Schizosaccharomyces pombe: one gene and its partners. The protein of the gene in region 1 interacts with the protein of each later gene in a pairwise test. Each region holds a gene or a part of one and is shown in the gene's direction. Other genes may lie near its edges.

Region 1 (6,838 bases):
ATTCATTCAGCTGCTCATCAAAACAAAAGGCGGGACAATTGTGATGTGGTGTTAAAATTCTTGAGGATGTATGTGAATATGGCATACTAACTACCTGCCCCCTAGATATTCAGCTACACTCTCTTCATGAATGTTTGGAAGTGAGGCTGGCGCCGCAATTAAACTAACTACAATTTCTTTCTTCATAGATTAGGATAGTAAAAGACTTGGAACTATATTTATATATTAAATATTTATTATTTATTAATTTTTGAAAGGATAATGTGTGAGCAACATAGTTGTTTTCGAATAGCAGGAATTTCAAATTACCCATATAGAAGACATCCAGTATTGAAAAAGGTAGAAACAAAAAATGAGTTGGAAATCAATTAATACATCAACTATGGTTAAGTATTTGGTTTAACGGACGCTGTAAAATTTTGCCTTTCAGAGGATATATTTCAACTAGTAGGGGAAAAAAGAAGTTCCTTGCTTCAGTAAATTTATAAAATCCACTGGAGCTTTTTTACAAACAAATTTTCATTATCTACAATTGAAACTGCAATTTGGAAAGATTGCACGTAAAAAAAAAAAGGAAAGAACATGCAAGAGTTTCAATTGTAACACCCTTCTGCAATAATCGGCCAATGTTGTCGATAAGATATAAAGGCTTTAAACAACCAACCACTGTATGTTACAACCTTGTGCATTTTGTTTCTTATCTTAATAACCTTCCAGATGTAAACATTCGCATTCATCCACCTAAATTGAATCCTAACGCTAACTAATTTATTAATATCCCCAGGCAAAAAAAGTGGATCATTAACAAGAATAGGAAACATCAGGAAAAGCTGATAATATGATCTAAAATCAGTTTGCTCAAATATTTGATCCAAATCATAAATGCAATATGAAAGAGCACGGCGAGTTTTTTTATTGCAATAGTTAAATGTAACAACCAGTAAGCAAACTCTTTTTTTTGAATAATAAAACCATTATTGTAAACTTCATAAATCGCTTTCATAATGTATGTTAACCAACATCGCGAATCATTTCAAGCGATGCATTGGTTTGACAATTTATAGTAATTGGAAGAATGAGTTAAGCATATATTCCATAAACTTATAGTGAAAGAGGATGATTAAAGAAAGTTGGTGCTAATTTTTTAAAAAACGCCGCAGCTTCTCTGCATTGGTGATTTTGGTAAAGAGGTTTTCCAACTGTAGCGACAACTACATTAATAAAGCAATTAGACTTCGCTTTCGGCCTCCGTTTCTTCCAAGGGAATGTCATTATTATCGTTGGCACCTCCAATCGCATTTGCTATACCTCCTAGTCGGGTAAGTAAAAAATCATTCATACAGTTGGTTGAATACACATACCTAGGAAAGAAGCTATACCATTCCTGATAAATTTGGGCATCCTTTTGAGAGCACCTGGACATTCTGATACGGTTAGAATAAATTACAGGAATATTGAACAAACCCATTTCGTAAAAGAAAAGAAAATTGCCTATAACAAAGAGTGAAGTGGCTTCAATTTCGTAGCCTGTCCCGTCGATATGTTTATCAAATGAATGCATCAAACCTTTCTGTACAATAACGACACAACTTTGTACACCCAGCATTTGAAACAAACCAAAAAGCATATGCTTGAGTGTCCAAAATGGAAGACGAACTGCGTGTTAGCGGTCAGTAATGGTAACTCCATAACTTCACATACCATATAGTAAAAATAAAAGTAAAGCAGCTGAAATACTGCATGTAGAACAGATGAGAGCCTTGTATAAGTTCAGGTTACCGAATTTGGCGCGAAGAAAAAGTGTATAGCAAATGACTACCCATAATAGCCAAATTATTACTACCCATTTTTCCCTTGAGTTGTACAAGCCGACCGCAGTTACCTTTACACATTGTGCCAAGAAATTTACAGTTACTTTAACTGCCTTGGCCCTTTTCATAGAAGTCTAATGAGTTAGTGACTGAAGGTAAGATTAACCCCATTGTCTCACTTACAAGTCAAGAATATTAAAGCCAAAGTGCAAACAAGACACCAAAATCCAAATAACGTCCATTCCGCTGCACCATAATTTTTAAAGAAAGCGTCTTTATACTTTAGATAACAAACTGCTAGAGCATTGAGTAGAACGATTGGAGTGAATGATATTAGTAGTTTAATCAAAAAAGGGGAAGAATCATCTGTCGTCCCGGAAGAATGGTTTTCTCTATGTATGTTAGGAGGATTGCTTACACGTGCGTAATCTGTTTAAATTAATATGATTGAAATACTTTAGTAAAGAAAGTGCATGTATCAAAGTGTGTGCATGCATGGCCGACTATAAACAATGATCACATCCAAGTTATTTTACAGCAATGGCAAGTTTCAACTTTCAATTGAGTAATTCCTTTCTTATTATTTACAATTCTTACCTGAATATGGAGGTAATGCGCCCTCTTCCTCTGAATTATATTCTGGAAGCAGGCCTTTTTCCAAATCGATTTCATGATCTGTCTTCAATTCATCTTCTTCATCTAGAGGACTTTTCAAGGAAGTGTAATTATTCTTCATTTCATCAAGATAATTCTTTATTTAATAAAACACATGCGCGAATTAATTGCTGTGATTGCGACAAACGAAACAGCGAAATCAAGAATATTCACTCTGGAGTTCAGTTCCCGCCGCTCAACATAAATAAATGAGCAATACTCGTTTCAAAGCAAACTGTTTTTTCAATAATAGCAAGTGAAAAGTAGAATTCCAAAACTCATTTTCAAAATGCAATTGCTTCTGACACATTTATTTTGTCACTGCCCTTTTTATTCACCCCAACTTAGCTTTCCTTAAACGTTATAGGGTTCAAGACATTAACGCAGTACAGCAAAATTACAAATGCGTGTGTACCGCCTTATTTGCCAGCAGCCATTTAAATTAATAAATAAAAGTATGATTAATGTAAAATGACTTAGTAAAATCAATTTACTCCTAAATTATAAATCAACATAATTTTCAACGTTGTTTTGCTAGGTCTTATTTGCCAATACTGTACAGGCAATGTTATTATAGTCGTTTAAATAACTGCATTCCTTCACTTTCATCGTAAACAAATTCTTTTTAAAAAATTGAGGCATTAACATTTCAACAATGAGACTATACTTAGAGTAAGCATAGGGATATGTAGGAAAAGGATTGAACTTCGTCAAAAGTTTAGCGACTGTAAACAGCACGTCAAAAATTAAAAGCTCAGCAACGGCATCGCTGCTTCTCTTTTCCAATCTTTTAACTCAGAAAGCGTATATAGTTTCGATTGCACAACAGACGAAGCTGCCAGATTAAAAACCTTACCTCGATAATCTCTGGACTCATCTCAGCAGAGGTTCGGTGCATTTAATAATTACATTTTTTTTGGCTAAAGTAAGGTGCAGCGCGAATATGGAATTATTTTTTTATGTTAAGTATTTATGTTTGTTCACAGCCAAGACACGATCATTGCCAGTAGCTCTTCTAGCTTCAAAAGAGGGAAATAGTTATCGTTTTTTCAATTTTTTATATAATAAAAACGCTAGTTTATACTACAGCTGAAAAGGTTAAGTCGCTTTTTTCGATACCGAGTTTCATATTGCTTAAGCCGGCTCTATGTTCCTTCGTCCTCCATCCACCACCACACTTACTATATTTGTTGCGTTGCATTATAAAAATCACTTAACCTCCGCTAAACACATTTTCTTTTCGTCTAACCATGTCGGATATGATCAATATACGTGAAACAGGCTACAATTTTACCACGATTCTCAAACGGTATGTAATTGCATTAAACTGCTAAAAGAGTAATAGTCTTTAATTGATTATGCATCTAACATTTACTCATATAGACTGGAAGCGGCAACTTCTCGTTTGGAGGATCTTGTGGAAAGTGGTCATAAGCCTCTTCCCAACATGCATCGTCCTTCTAGAGATTCAAACAGTCAAACCCACAACATATCCTTCAACATTGGTACTCCAACGGCCCCAACCGTGTCGACTGGTAGTCCTGCTGTCGCATCATTACATGATCAAGTTGCGGCTGCTATCAGTCCTCGGAACAGAAGTCTTACATCCACCTCTGCCGTTGAAGCGGTTCCTGCTTCCATTTCCGCCTACGATGAATTTTGTTCCAAGTATTTATCTAAATACATGGAATTGAGTAAAAAAATTGGTGGTTTGATTGCCGAACAAAGTGAACACGTCGAGAAGGCTTTTAACCTTTTACGTCAGGTTTTGAGCGTCGCTTTGAAAGCCCAGAAACCCGACATGGATTCCCCGGAACTCTTGGAATTCCTCAAGCCTATCCAATCTGAACTGCTCACTATTACCAATATTCGAGATGAACACCGCACCGCCCCCGAGTTCAATCAACTTTCTACCGTCATGAGTGGAATTAGTATTTTGGGCTGGGTCACAGTTGAGCCCACTCCATTATCCTTTATGTCTGAAATGAAAGATTCGTCCCAATTCTACGCCAACCGTGTAATGAAAGAGTTTAAAGGTAAAGATGACTTGCAAATCGAATGGGTTCGTTCTTACCTTACTCTGTTGACTGAATTGATTACATACGTCAAGACCCACTTCAAAACCGGTCTCACCTGGTCTACTAAACAGGATGCAGTACCCTTGAAAACGGCTTTGGCAAACTTGTCTGCTTCGAAAACTCAGGCACCATCTTCTGGCGATTCTGCAAACGGCGGCTTGCCTCCACCACCACCACCACCTCCTCCATCTAATGATTTTTGGAAGGATAGCAACGAGCCCGCACCTGCTGATAATAAAGGTGATATGGGAGCGGTGTTTGCCGAAATTAATAAAGGCGAGGGAATTACATCCGGACTTCGTAAGGTGGATAAGAGTGAAATGACCCACAAAAATCCGAATTTACGTAAAACGGGACCCACTCCTGGTCCTAAGCCTAAAATCAAAAGCTCTGCTCCTTCTAAGCCAGCGGAAACTGCTCCCGTTAAACCACCTCGCATTGAGTTGGAAAATACTAAGTGGTTTGTTGAAAACCAAGTCGACAATCACAGTATAGTCTTGGATTCTGTGGAGCTCAACCACTCAGTGCAAATTTTCGGTTGCTCCAATTGCACAATTATAATTAAAGGAAAGTTAAACACCGTTTCCATGAGCAACTGTAAACGTACTAGCGTTGTAGTAGATACTTTAGTGGCCGCTTTTGATATTGCTAAGTGTTCCAATTTTGGCTGCCAAGTTATGAATCACGTTCCAATGATTGTTATCGACCAATGCGATGGAGGTTCCATCTATTTGAGCAAATCTTCGTTGTCGTCCGAAGTTGTCACTAGTAAATCAACAAGCTTGAACATCAACGTCCCCAACGAAGAGGGAGATTATGCTGAACGTGCTGTTCCCGAGCAGATCAAGCACAAGGTGAATGAAAAGGGAGAGCTTGTCTCTGAGATTGTACGTCACGAATAAGTTTTTCTCAGAGAGCTTTTTCAAGCTATATTCCTAACGGTTTCATAGTAAAGATTTAAGTTGATTTGTCTAGAGCTTTTTATTCATCTTCATCTTTTTCTTTTACTGCTACTAACGACACACTTTGCTCGATGTTTTGTAAAATTGATCAATCAAATCTTCGGCTTATTTCAGAGATACAAATATTTGTTTTCCCTTCGCTTTCGACTTTCCGATGCGATTTACCTTTTGCCCAAATATCCCTTGGACTCAATGTGTACTTCCCCACATACATCTTTATATTGAATGGGATCGGATAATGCGCGGGAAAAGTTGTTGTCCGTACCACGAATTGCTACGTTGACTTTATGATATATGCGTGCATGCATACATACGAATAGTGGTTATTTTACGAGTTAAACGATATAGAAGCTTAAATTTAGTGATTGTTTGTGTGCAAATAGAATTTATGGATGACAATGATAAGGCTGTTGTATATGACGCTTCCTCATTTCTTTTTCCCTGTTGATTTTAACTCGAAAGGATTTTAAGTGTCTTCCGTTCGCCAATTGAATTCATCATCATCTTCTTTTTGTTTTTGTTTTTCAGTCTAAACAAATCCTCTAGCTAAGGTATCATTTTCTCGATTGCTGTTTTGCTCATGTTATGTTTTTATGAAAAAAAGCCATGCTGTTCAATAAAAGAGGAAAGGAAGATTTTGGAAGTTTTATAGTTGAATGAGTTCATCTATAAATATATACATATATACATATATATAATATACAAAATATTTTTTCTTTGAGGCTTGAACTATAACTTTACAACTGTCACTTTCATTCTTACATTGTACAGCTGCCTGTATAATCTGTTTCCATTGTAGAGTTGAAATAGTACAGTAGCTTTTCTTTCTGCCAAATATTTACAGTAGTGTAGCAAGAAGCCACTATACGAGTTTTAGGAATTTATTCCGCATTGCTTTGCACTGTCCTGCGGTTTGCTATTTTAGCCAGTCGTCGTTCTTGACAAATCGGCGTTCGATCTTTAATGCCCGTTGAGATCGATTGCGTAATGCTACAACCTTATATTGAGTGTAAGCACTACCCCACAATTCGTATATATACTGTACCAACTCACTGTGTGATTCTCAACTTCAACATATCTTCCAAATAGTCAACGTATAATCAACAAAGCTCGGGACCTTGCCTAAAAGTATCTAAAACGACTTCCAAAAGCGTACCTCGAACTTGTTAAGTTTAAGGTAAGTAAAAGTGAGTATGCAAAACGATCAAGTTACATCCCAATTTGCCAGAAAAAATATTTTAAAAATGAATAAACCGACGTAAATACTACTCTTGAGACCTTTTTATACACACGAAAGTCGATATTTTTTTTGGAAAAAAGTCTTGACATAAAC
Region 2 (4,812 bases), on another chromosome or scaffold:
ATCTTTTATTTCTTCATAGGATCCTGTGAGACCAACGATTTTAGGATTGAAATCTTCAAGGTATTCAGCCATTTCTTGCGGAGGATCACGGGCTGGATCACAGGTTATGAAAATAGGATAAACCACGTCTCCAACAACATTGTTTACAATATCAATAGCTGCTGACATTTTGTCGAGCTCGTCGGGGCAAATGTCGGGGCATCTGGTGAAACCAAAGTAGATTAAGGAAAATTTTCCCTTGAAATCGTTATCAGTAACTCGATTTCCATGATGATCAATTAAAGAAAAAGCACCTCCTAATTGGGGACGACCTATGGTAGCCAAAACCTTGTCGTTTTGCCTCTCCAACACTTTTTTCTTTTCATGTTGGAAATAAGCATAAAGGCCAACGCTTGTTGCAGCTGCAAGAAGCAATGCTCTTATAGAAATCATTCCACGCCATGATTGGTATGTCTGCGTTCGATTGTCAGTAGCTAGATTTTTGCGACCGTCGGCAAAACGCGCTAGGCACGTACGATTCAAAGGAAATCGAGGACGAATCAAGCTGTAATGACAATGCCTAGAGAAAACTAAACCCCTTCGAAACATTACTTGATTTGAGTGATTGCCAACAATCGATTCAAAAATCGTAATATTTGGACAAGACAAAAAACTGAAGTTAAAACAGTAACAAAAGTATAACCAAGACTAGCAAGTTTTAAAAAAATTTAAAATCTTTTCTGTCTCTTCAAATACAAAACGGAGAAAACAATTTCTCACAAAGAATAAGCCTCTCCAAGTTAGTCCAATTTCACGTCAGTATGGGTATTTGGGTGGTAATGAAGACGTTGAAAATAGAATTTCACCAAAATTACTGCAAACATTTTAGCGTTCAAAAAAAACGTAATTTTATCGCTAATCCTTTAAAGAGTTCATATGCATATAGCCGCTTCTCCAATGCTGTAATTTCAATGTAATCTAAGTTTTAATACGAATGAAAATAGACACAAAATATGAATTTCGTCAAGGATCAGAATGACTTATAAATGAAAGAATCATTACTCAAACGGTTACTTAGCTTGTTCAAATCGCTATATTATAGTATGTGATTATTGAATATTTTTTTTTGGAAGAATAAAGACCATGCATACCGTCTATGCGGCTTTGCTGGAATTGTCAAATATACACAACTTGTGAGATTTATTTTTATTTTTGACAAATAATAAATTTCCGTTGGAAACCAATTATACTGCGCTGAGACGCATTTGTTGAGAGATTGAAAATTCAATTCACACAGCATTCTAAAGCACCAAAATCATTTTTTTAAAAGCCCAGATTTCAAGTCAGGATACAAAAATATTACTTCTACTTAGGGATGTTTTCAGGTACCTGAAGTGAGATTTGAAATTGAAAAATATCGTCTGGATAACTATACTAAGGACCTTTTTTATTTATACGAAAACACAGCTAGTGCCATGCTTTTTTGTATGTTTTTACGAATATCTGAAAGCAAAGGCTCTACATACGGCGAAATTTAATTGAGACATAACAAATGGTTAGAAATTCCTATTTCATCAAATTGTTCGATATTTTGTAGCCATACCTAGGAAAAAATTCTTTCTCAAATTTTCAATATTTTTTCCTGATACATTGAACTTGACAGTTCAAATGTTCTAAGTTAAAAATAATTCCACTTAATAACTTGCTCACATAATTCAATTTTTTGAAAAATTCTAACGAAAACTTATGGCACACAAGTTCTCATTTTACTATATAAAAGGATTTTTTTAAAAAAAATTGCATTGTTTTTCAGCCCCGGTGGAAAGCATTGGAATTTTGGCGCCACGATCTTCGTATGTTTTTTCCATATATATACCTACCAGGTATACACACCAAGCGGTAGTTGTAAACCTACCTTCCGCCATTACCACTAATCAGCAAAACTTTTAAAGATTGATAAGAATTAACTGAAATAATTTTTATTTGAGATCTTAAAGAGTTAAGTAATAAATTTCCATAGAAATATGGATCATAAAAACTACCTGAATCATGTTATTCGTGGAATCTACAACGACTTCCAATTCCTTGTTGATGAGGGCGTAGTTGAAAGGAGTGCTTTGGATTGGGTTCACGCAAATATCCATTTACAGGACGGTCCCGCTAGTCCTGTAACTGCTCCAGCTGCTCAACCTGTTGAGTCCTCAGTACCCCTTCCCTTGCCCAAGCGGAAGAGCTCTGTGGAAAAAAGAGCAGGATCGGTAGCGTCTGCCGTAGCAGCAATGTCTTTGTCTCAAAACTCTGGAGAAAAGAGGACACCCGAGGAACCTCGTAAGCTGCCTGGAGTGCCTGCCCCACAGAAGCAAAGCGAGGCTTCAAGTGTCAATTCATCTACCGAGAAGCTTCCCCCTCCTCCCAGCTATCCTGGACCCAATACTGCCCATAAGAACGTTGAGCGGGTTTTGGCGATGTACGACTTTCCTGGCCCTGATGCTGGTGATTTAGGTTTCCATGCTGGCGAAGTTATCATTGTACTTGAGCATGTCAATAACGATTGGTGGCGTGGTGAATTGAATGGAAAGGAAGGAATCTTCCCTTCTAACTATGTGCGTTTGTTGGAAGATTCTGCCGTTAAAGCTCAACCTCCTCCTCCTCCACCACAGCAAAACTATCCCCCAGCAGCATCTTCTTCGGCACCTCCCATGCAGTATCAGCAAACAGCATATCCACCTCAGCAAGCACCATATCCACCTGTCCAAGCCTATCCTCAGGCGCCTCAACAACCCATCGTGGTTGCACAACCGACCGAGCACAAGCACTCATCAACATTCAAGAAGATTGGTAGTGGTTTGGGTTCTGCATTTGTATTCGGTGCTGGTGCAACTGCTGGCGCTGATCTCGTCAATTCCATTTTTTAAATGCGAGTTCGTTTCTTTCCTTTTTCTATGCTTTTTTTCTTCCTTTATATAAGTAAAACTTTCTGTGTGGTTGAACTAGCACCTGTGTTTGTTATCGTTGGTGCGCAGTTGTTTTTTATTTTGAAATTTCCAAGTAGAAATTTCCGTATATCGCGAATGCATTTCCCTTGTTCATGTTTACTCCTTTGGTCTTTTGTCTTTTTCTCGACTATGCTTTATGCTTATAAAGCAACACCGCGGCATAGCTGCTTCTTCATAGATTGAGACACCTCATTTATGTGTATGAATTCGATATCCAAACATTGTTGCATATTCTTTATGATTATCGATGCGTACTATTAAATACGCATGTCTCTTGACTTTTGTTTATTTTTAGTGTTTTTCTTTTTACGACTTTCATACCGTTTATATTTTAATTCCATAATAAAAAAAATAAATTACAAAGCAAAAATATGATTAATAGGGAACGAATGACAGTGTATTAGATTTGTTAATATGCTATGGTAAATTGTTCTATTGCTTAACGTATATTAAAGCAAAAAATAGTAAACGGATGAGGAAGTATAAATTAGGTAGCCTTTGTTAGAGATTTAATTACGATGTCCGGTCAGAATCGTTTCCATTAAGCAATAAAAAAGAATCGACGTGGAAATCCCATGAATGTAAAGACTCACATTATTAAAATGGGAAGATAAAGTAAAAACTGGAGACAGCGAATGTCCAACAAAAATGGAAGATGTATGAATAATGATGAATCAAATTCGGTAACACGTTGATGGGGATTCCAAGAGAAAGTAGCAGAATTTCAAAAAAAAAAGAGAACGACAATAAAAATGAACCTTTGTTTAAAAATAAAAGAAGTCAACACACAATAAAGAATAATGAGACTATGAACAGAAATGAAACTCAAGGGAGAATTGTTATAAAAAGCGTCTGAAAGCACTGGGGAATGAATGAAAGGACTAAATTTGTTTTAATTTTTTTTCTTTTTTGTTGTAAAAATGGAAAACATGAAAATAAGTATGCAAGTTCAAATATAATAGCTGTATAGTTAGGATGAAAATTTCCTATAACAGCGGTTTAATTAATAAAAATTAATGCTCGAAAGAGAATTTCTTTCAATTTTTATGTGGTGTTCATATTCCCCTTCGGCATTAGTCATTCAGGATCGAAGAAAATTAAGCTAATTTAAGCAGTTGCTTAGCGAGAGGTGTTGTTTACACGGTCGGTGATGTCAAAAGTCTCGTTAGGTCGAGGAACATGAAATAGGTCCAGGATGGTTAGTTCGTTAGTGAGGTCTGAGGGAGAAAGAACTCTTTGGACAGGCTTAATCCTATAAACCTTTTCAGTCTGAATATTTTCTTTATTTTCATGTTCAATGCGTTGTGCAGGGGTTCGGCGAACACGTTTAGTGCGTTTCATGGGAACGCTATGTACCGATCCAGCTTTGGTAGAACGGCCGCGTTTGCTTGTAGAGCTGATGAAAGTGGTACCGGCATGGTCAACAGTTTTGGTGTTAGTGTTAGTACTGGAGCTTCCAGTACTAGTTCTGGGAGAAGTTGAGCGTCTTGCCGTATTGGTGCGATTTGGTAAAGCAGAAGCGCTGCTTGCTGGGTGACGGCTGTTGGAGGTGTTTTGAGAGCTCATTGTTAGAAGTAGAAAGTGATTGTAAAAGTAGAATATAGTTTGATGTGAATTAGATAATAGAAAGAATAAGAGGATAAGAAAATGGATGCAGAAATGAGCGACTAAGCACTCATACTTATACTAACGCAGCACATTTCTTTCAAACCCATGGCTCACGGAGGTTTTTCAATTTCGTGTAAAGTATTTGATATTTGCAAATGAAACAAAAAAAACTATTAAACAAATAAAAGATTATTTTTTTGTATACAATCACAGTACAGAAAGTGAAAAT
Region 3 (5,034 bases), 160 kb from region 1:
TCGAAAGTAGAAATATCAATCTTGCAGCCTGCATATTTTCGAAGAACTTTACAGGTTTCATCATTTGTATCGTAAGAGTTCATTAAAATGAAAGGCACGGACACATCGTACCGTCTGTTAAGATATTCGATTTGGCGAATGCTAAGGTCGAGGAAACTTTGATTGTCACGAACCTCAATCATGGCTTTAGGATAATTCACACCCAACGCATTTCCCATACCTCCATTTAATTTAACAACTGCAAGCCGATTTAAGTACTTTCCAGCATTTTTGCATAACGGTAAATCACCGTAATCTATCATGTCTTCGGGTCCCAGAGGCCGGATAGAATCCCAATCACATTCATAACCTTTAACTGTGTGTAATAAATATCTTCTATACAAAGCAAAGAAGTTGTCCATTTGTATGCCAAACGTTTTTTTATCCGAAACTCTGGAATTCAGTACAAGTTTATCTAATTCGTTTTTCATCGTACTGGCAGATATGCTAACTGCAACACTGTCAAAGTCCAAAGTGGACTGTGATTTAAAATGAATTCGACGATGCAACATTTTGGAGTTTTGTCGATTCTCCCACTTTTTGGGGTGAGAGTGGTAGGATGAAATGAACCACTAGTTTTAACGATATACACTCCGATGTTCCAACGTGATCTTTTTCACTTGATATCCTCCTTGTTCAGATACTGGCGGATTCTTTTCTGCTATGGATTAGAAAGATAATTACGACAAGTTATTTTGTGTCAAAAATGTCCAAGTTTCTTTTATTGTGTATATCTATCACTAAGTCTTATTACAGTCAGTTCTCGACAAAAAGACTCAAAACTATTAGATACAATTTGTTTTTTATTCTATAAGTGAATTTAATAAAACTTCTCTGTATTAATTTGCATACAGTGACAAATCATTCTGTATGGTTTCGAAATAAGGGCAATATACCTTAAATAACAAACTGAGACACTTTATATCTATGTTTTACGTCTTTTGTTTTATTAAGTAGATTGGTAAAGATGCAACTTATTCAACTTAAATTCAAAACAAAGCAGATAAACAGAAAATCGTTTGCTTGGGCTGAAATAAACAAGTCCAAACTATGGTACTTAAGAAATTACTCGCAACGTTTAAGTTACTAGAAGATATAGAGCTTATGATTACAATGCTATGTTTGCATATCAATACTTCTATTGTTATAAGAAGTAGACTTTGCTTAAATGATTCTGCTGGAATTATCGACAACCATCAGAGTCAAAAAAATTCCTCATACTGCACAACTTTTTGACATGCATTTTTATTATCAGATTAAAACGTTCGCAATTGAAAATTTGATAAAAAGCTGTTTGTTCGCCTAAATTTCAGTATAGCTAGTTCAATGACTAGCTAGGTAATCAATTCAAGTATAGTGAAATGTCTATCACATAGAGTTATAAAGAAAATCAGCTATTTCTAAAAAACACTAACAGAGGATTTGAATTATTGTGGTCATTTATTACTTCATTAATTGTTTCGAGTAAGCCCTTTCTATGTGTTTCACTTGTAATTACCTATTGTTCAACATTCTTTTAGGTCTATTGTTTATAGTTAATAAAAATGAATCTACGTTCTATTGCGCTATATTTATTTAACACAGGCCGACGTAGTTCATTATTAAAATGCAGACTTTCTTATATTAGCTTAACGATTGCTAATCACATTTTGTCACACTGCTATGCAGTTGTTATAGGATAGTATTTAGTTTTTTATAACTCGCTTTGCTTATGATGGAATAAACTCCTTAGAGTCTTCAATAATTATTTACATATGACTTTACGTCCTTTTAAATATACATAGGCTTTTCTCACCTTTTCCACATAAACTATAAGATTCATACCAATAAACTACTTTAACAGCTATTTGCCGTAGTCTTCTGCAGCTCGGTAACCAGATTTCATCTAAAAGTAGTCACATATTTTCTTGTGGAGAGCAGTCACAAATCACTTAGTAGTACTAGAAGGATGCTTCGCCTTTGTCATTCACCACACGCCAAAAAATTTAATTGTAAAAAATGGGCAAGGAAAAGGGACATATTAACGTCGTTGTTATCGGTCACGTCGATTCTGGTAAGTCTACCACCACTGGTCACCTGATTTACAAGTGCGGTGGTATTGACAAGCGTACCATTGAAAAATTCGAGAAGGAAGCCACCGAGTTGGGTAAGGGTTCCTTCAAGTACGCCTGGGTTTTGGACAAGCTCAAGGCCGAGCGTGAACGTGGTATCACTATCGACATTGCCCTTTGGAAGTTCGAGACTCCCAAGTACAATGTTACTGTCATTGATGCCCCCGGTCACCGTGATTTCATCAAGAACATGATTACCGGTACTTCTCAAGCTGACTGTGCTGTCCTTATTATTGGTGGTGGTACTGGTGAGTTCGAGGCTGGTATCTCCAAGGATGGTCAAACCCGTGAGCACGCTTTGCTTGCTTACACCTTGGGTGTCAAGCAACTTATTGTTGCCGTCAACAAGATGGACACCACTGGCTGGTCCCAAGCTCGTTTCGAGGAAATCGTTAAGGAGACCTCCAACTTCATCAAGAAGGTCGGTTTCAACCCCAAGACCGTTCCTTTCGTCCCTGTCTCCGGTTTCCAAGGTGATAACATGATTGAGCCCACCACCAACATGCCCTGGTACCAAGGCTGGCAAAAGGAGACCAAGGCTGGTGTCGTCAAGGGTAAGACTCTTTTGGAGGCTATTGACTCCATTGAGCCCCCTGCACGTCCCACTGACAAGCCTCTTCGTCTCCCCCTTCAAGATGTTTACAAGATCGGTGGTATTGGTACAGTTCCCGTCGGTCGTGTTGAGACTGGTGTTATCAAGCCCGGTATGATTGTCACCTTCGCTCCCGCTGGTGTCACTACCGAAGTCAAGTCTGTTGAGATGCACCACGAGTCTCTCGACGCTGGTCTTCCCGGTGACAACGTTGGTTTCAACGTTAAGAACGTTTCCGTCAAGGATATTCGCCGTGGTAACGTCTGTGGTGACTCCAAGAACGATCCTCCCATGGGTTGTGCTAGCTTCACCGCTCAAGTCATCATTCTTAACCACCCCGGTCAAATCTCTGCTGGTTACTCTCCTGTTTTGGATTGCCACACTGCTCACATTGCTTGCAAGTTCGCTGAGCTCATTGAGAAGATTGACCGTCGTTCCGGTAAGAAGATTGAGGAGTCCCCCAAGTTTGTCAAGTCTGGTGATGCTTGCATTGCTAAGATGGTTCCTTCCAAGCCTATGTGTGTTGAAGCTTTCACTGACTACGCTCCTCTTGGTCGTTTCGCTGTCCGTGACATGCGTCAAACCGTCGCTGTCGGTGTCATCAAGGCCGTTGAGAAGGTTGCCCCTGGTGCCGCTAAGGTCACTAAGGCCGCTGTTAAGGCTGGCGCCAAGAAGTAAACATTTTTTACTTCGGATTTAAGTAGATCTTGAGTTGTTGTAATCAGGATAGGCTAGTGAATGTTATATTGTTGATTAATATAATTTGGTATACTACTCAGTAATTAAATTTACTTATAACTTAGGAATTGAAATTTAAATTGCATGGTTAAATATAGATTTGCAACGATAATTCTTTTTTTCATTTTTTAAGTGCAAAATATGTATATGTAGAACTAAGTGCGTACATATGGAGGACTTTGAATAGGTGTCGGAGACATAGCACGATTAAGATTCAACATATCAAGCAGAGGTACACGGTTGCTCGTTTGTCTTGTAAGATTTATTTCCGACGGAGAACGTACGACAGTACTAGCAGTGTGTGGCCTTGATAGAGCCTGTTTCAATGTGCTAACCATTTCTCCACGTTGTGATTGCTGGTGAATAGAAACGAGCGACTTGGTAGCATGAAGTAAAGGATTTTGTTGGTAATCCGAAGCCGGTGATATAAATGGAAGTGAATATTCTGAAGAAGAAGTAAAAGACTTTTCGCGAGACGGTTTCTTTAATTTTTGAATAATATCGGTGTACTTGGGGTGTCGCGATTGCTCAGCAAATAGTAGTCTAGAGTCCTCTGGGAATACTTTCGGGCTTTTCTCCAATAATTCATTTACAACCATGTCCAAAGGCAACATGACTTCCTCGGTAGAGGCATTTGTTAGTTTCTCCCAAGAATGCGTAGAAGAACCTCTGTTCAAGAGACTCGAAGGTAATGAGCTAGATAATGAATCAAGCCACTTTCGTCCACTTGACTGAAGAGTTGTGATCTTCAAATTCTCTCCAATATAGATGATATAATAAGCAGTAACCGCCTCGGCAATACAGCGAGGAGGATCATTTTCAAAGGGTCGTAGTCCGCGATACATAGCAGGTAATACCGCTGTTACAGAAACTGGACCATAAAGCTGGTAAAGCCTTTGGATGATGAGTTTTAGAATATAAAATTCAGACTGCACCGAAAACACCTTGAGCCAACGTTCAATATGCCAACTGGTTTCATATATAAAATCCCATAATACAGAAAATGATGTGATTGCACTTTTCCGTAAAATAGTATCGAAATTTATTAAAGATGGACGGAGAAAGCACAAAAATTCGTAGAACACCTCAGCAGTTTTTATTCGTACAAAAGGTGACTGGGAAGTGTGAAGACGTTCAGCGGATTTGGGCCAGCTATGCAACAAAAAGTCGGTAACTAAAGAGAGAGGAGCACTGGATTCTTTTTTTGTATTTAGCTTTTCATTTTGCAGCTTATGAAAAGCTGTTAAAGCTACCATTTGTATAGCAGAAGAAGTTTCAGAATTAGCAAGAGTGTCGATTTCTCGCCATACATCAGCAAATTCTTCATCGTAATATTGATGCTTAGTTAAACAGGTGATACAAACCAAAAGTAAATAAAGGCGCCTAGGGAGCTTTTCCGATGGAGATTCACACATATTATACCAAGTTTGGTCATCAGCATCGAATGAATTGACAGCGTTGATAAGATGCGACCCCAAATCACGTAACACGTCAATAACGGATAAGCCAGAAATTGAGTTTTTCGAGTTAAGAATGGAGTAAATCATGTATGGC

Evidence for each region. Proteins that work in one complex are often made in the same cells at the same time.
Region 2: the proteins of cap1 (region 1) and lsb1 interact in a two-hybrid assay, tested with the Schizosaccharomyces pombe proteins (one study listed by BioGRID).
Region 3: the proteins of cap1 (region 1) and tef101 interact in a two-hybrid assay, tested with the Schizosaccharomyces pombe proteins (one study listed by BioGRID).

Annotation. Positions count from the first base shown.
Region 1 is NC_003421.2:423,154-429,991, reverse strand, and holds cap1 (adenylyl cyclase-associated protein Cap1), read left to right. Parts: upstream 1-3,629; 5' UTR 3,630-3,715; coding exon 3,716-3,774; intron 3,775-3,848; coding exon 3,849-5,445; 3' UTR 5,446-6,240; downstream 6,241-6,838. UniProt on the Schizosaccharomyces pombe protein: The N-terminal domain binds to adenylyl cyclase, thereby enabling adenylyl cyclase to be activated by upstream regulatory signals, such as Ras. The C-terminal domain is required for normal cellular morphology and growth control.
Region 2 is NC_003423.3:719,535-724,346, reverse strand, and holds lsb1 (SH3 domain-containing protein), read left to right. Parts: upstream 1-1,892; 5' UTR 1,893-2,003; coding exon 2,004-2,894; 3' UTR 2,895-3,340; downstream 3,341-4,812. Other genes in the region: copper chaperone Sco1, read right to left, coding at 1-588; meiosis inducing protein Mei3, read right to left, coding at 4,095-4,541.
Region 3 is NC_003421.2:266,483-271,516, reverse strand, and holds tef101 (translation elongation factor EF-1 alpha Ef1a-a), read left to right. Parts: upstream 1-2,000; 5' UTR 2,001-2,037; coding exon 2,038-3,420; 3' UTR 3,421-3,562; downstream 3,563-5,034. Other genes in the region: ugp1 (UTP-glucose-1-phosphate uridylyltransferase), read right to left, coding at 1-551; protein efr3, read right to left, coding at 3,636-5,034. UniProt on the Schizosaccharomyces pombe protein: This protein promotes the GTP-dependent binding of aminoacyl-tRNA to the A-site of ribosomes during protein biosynthesis.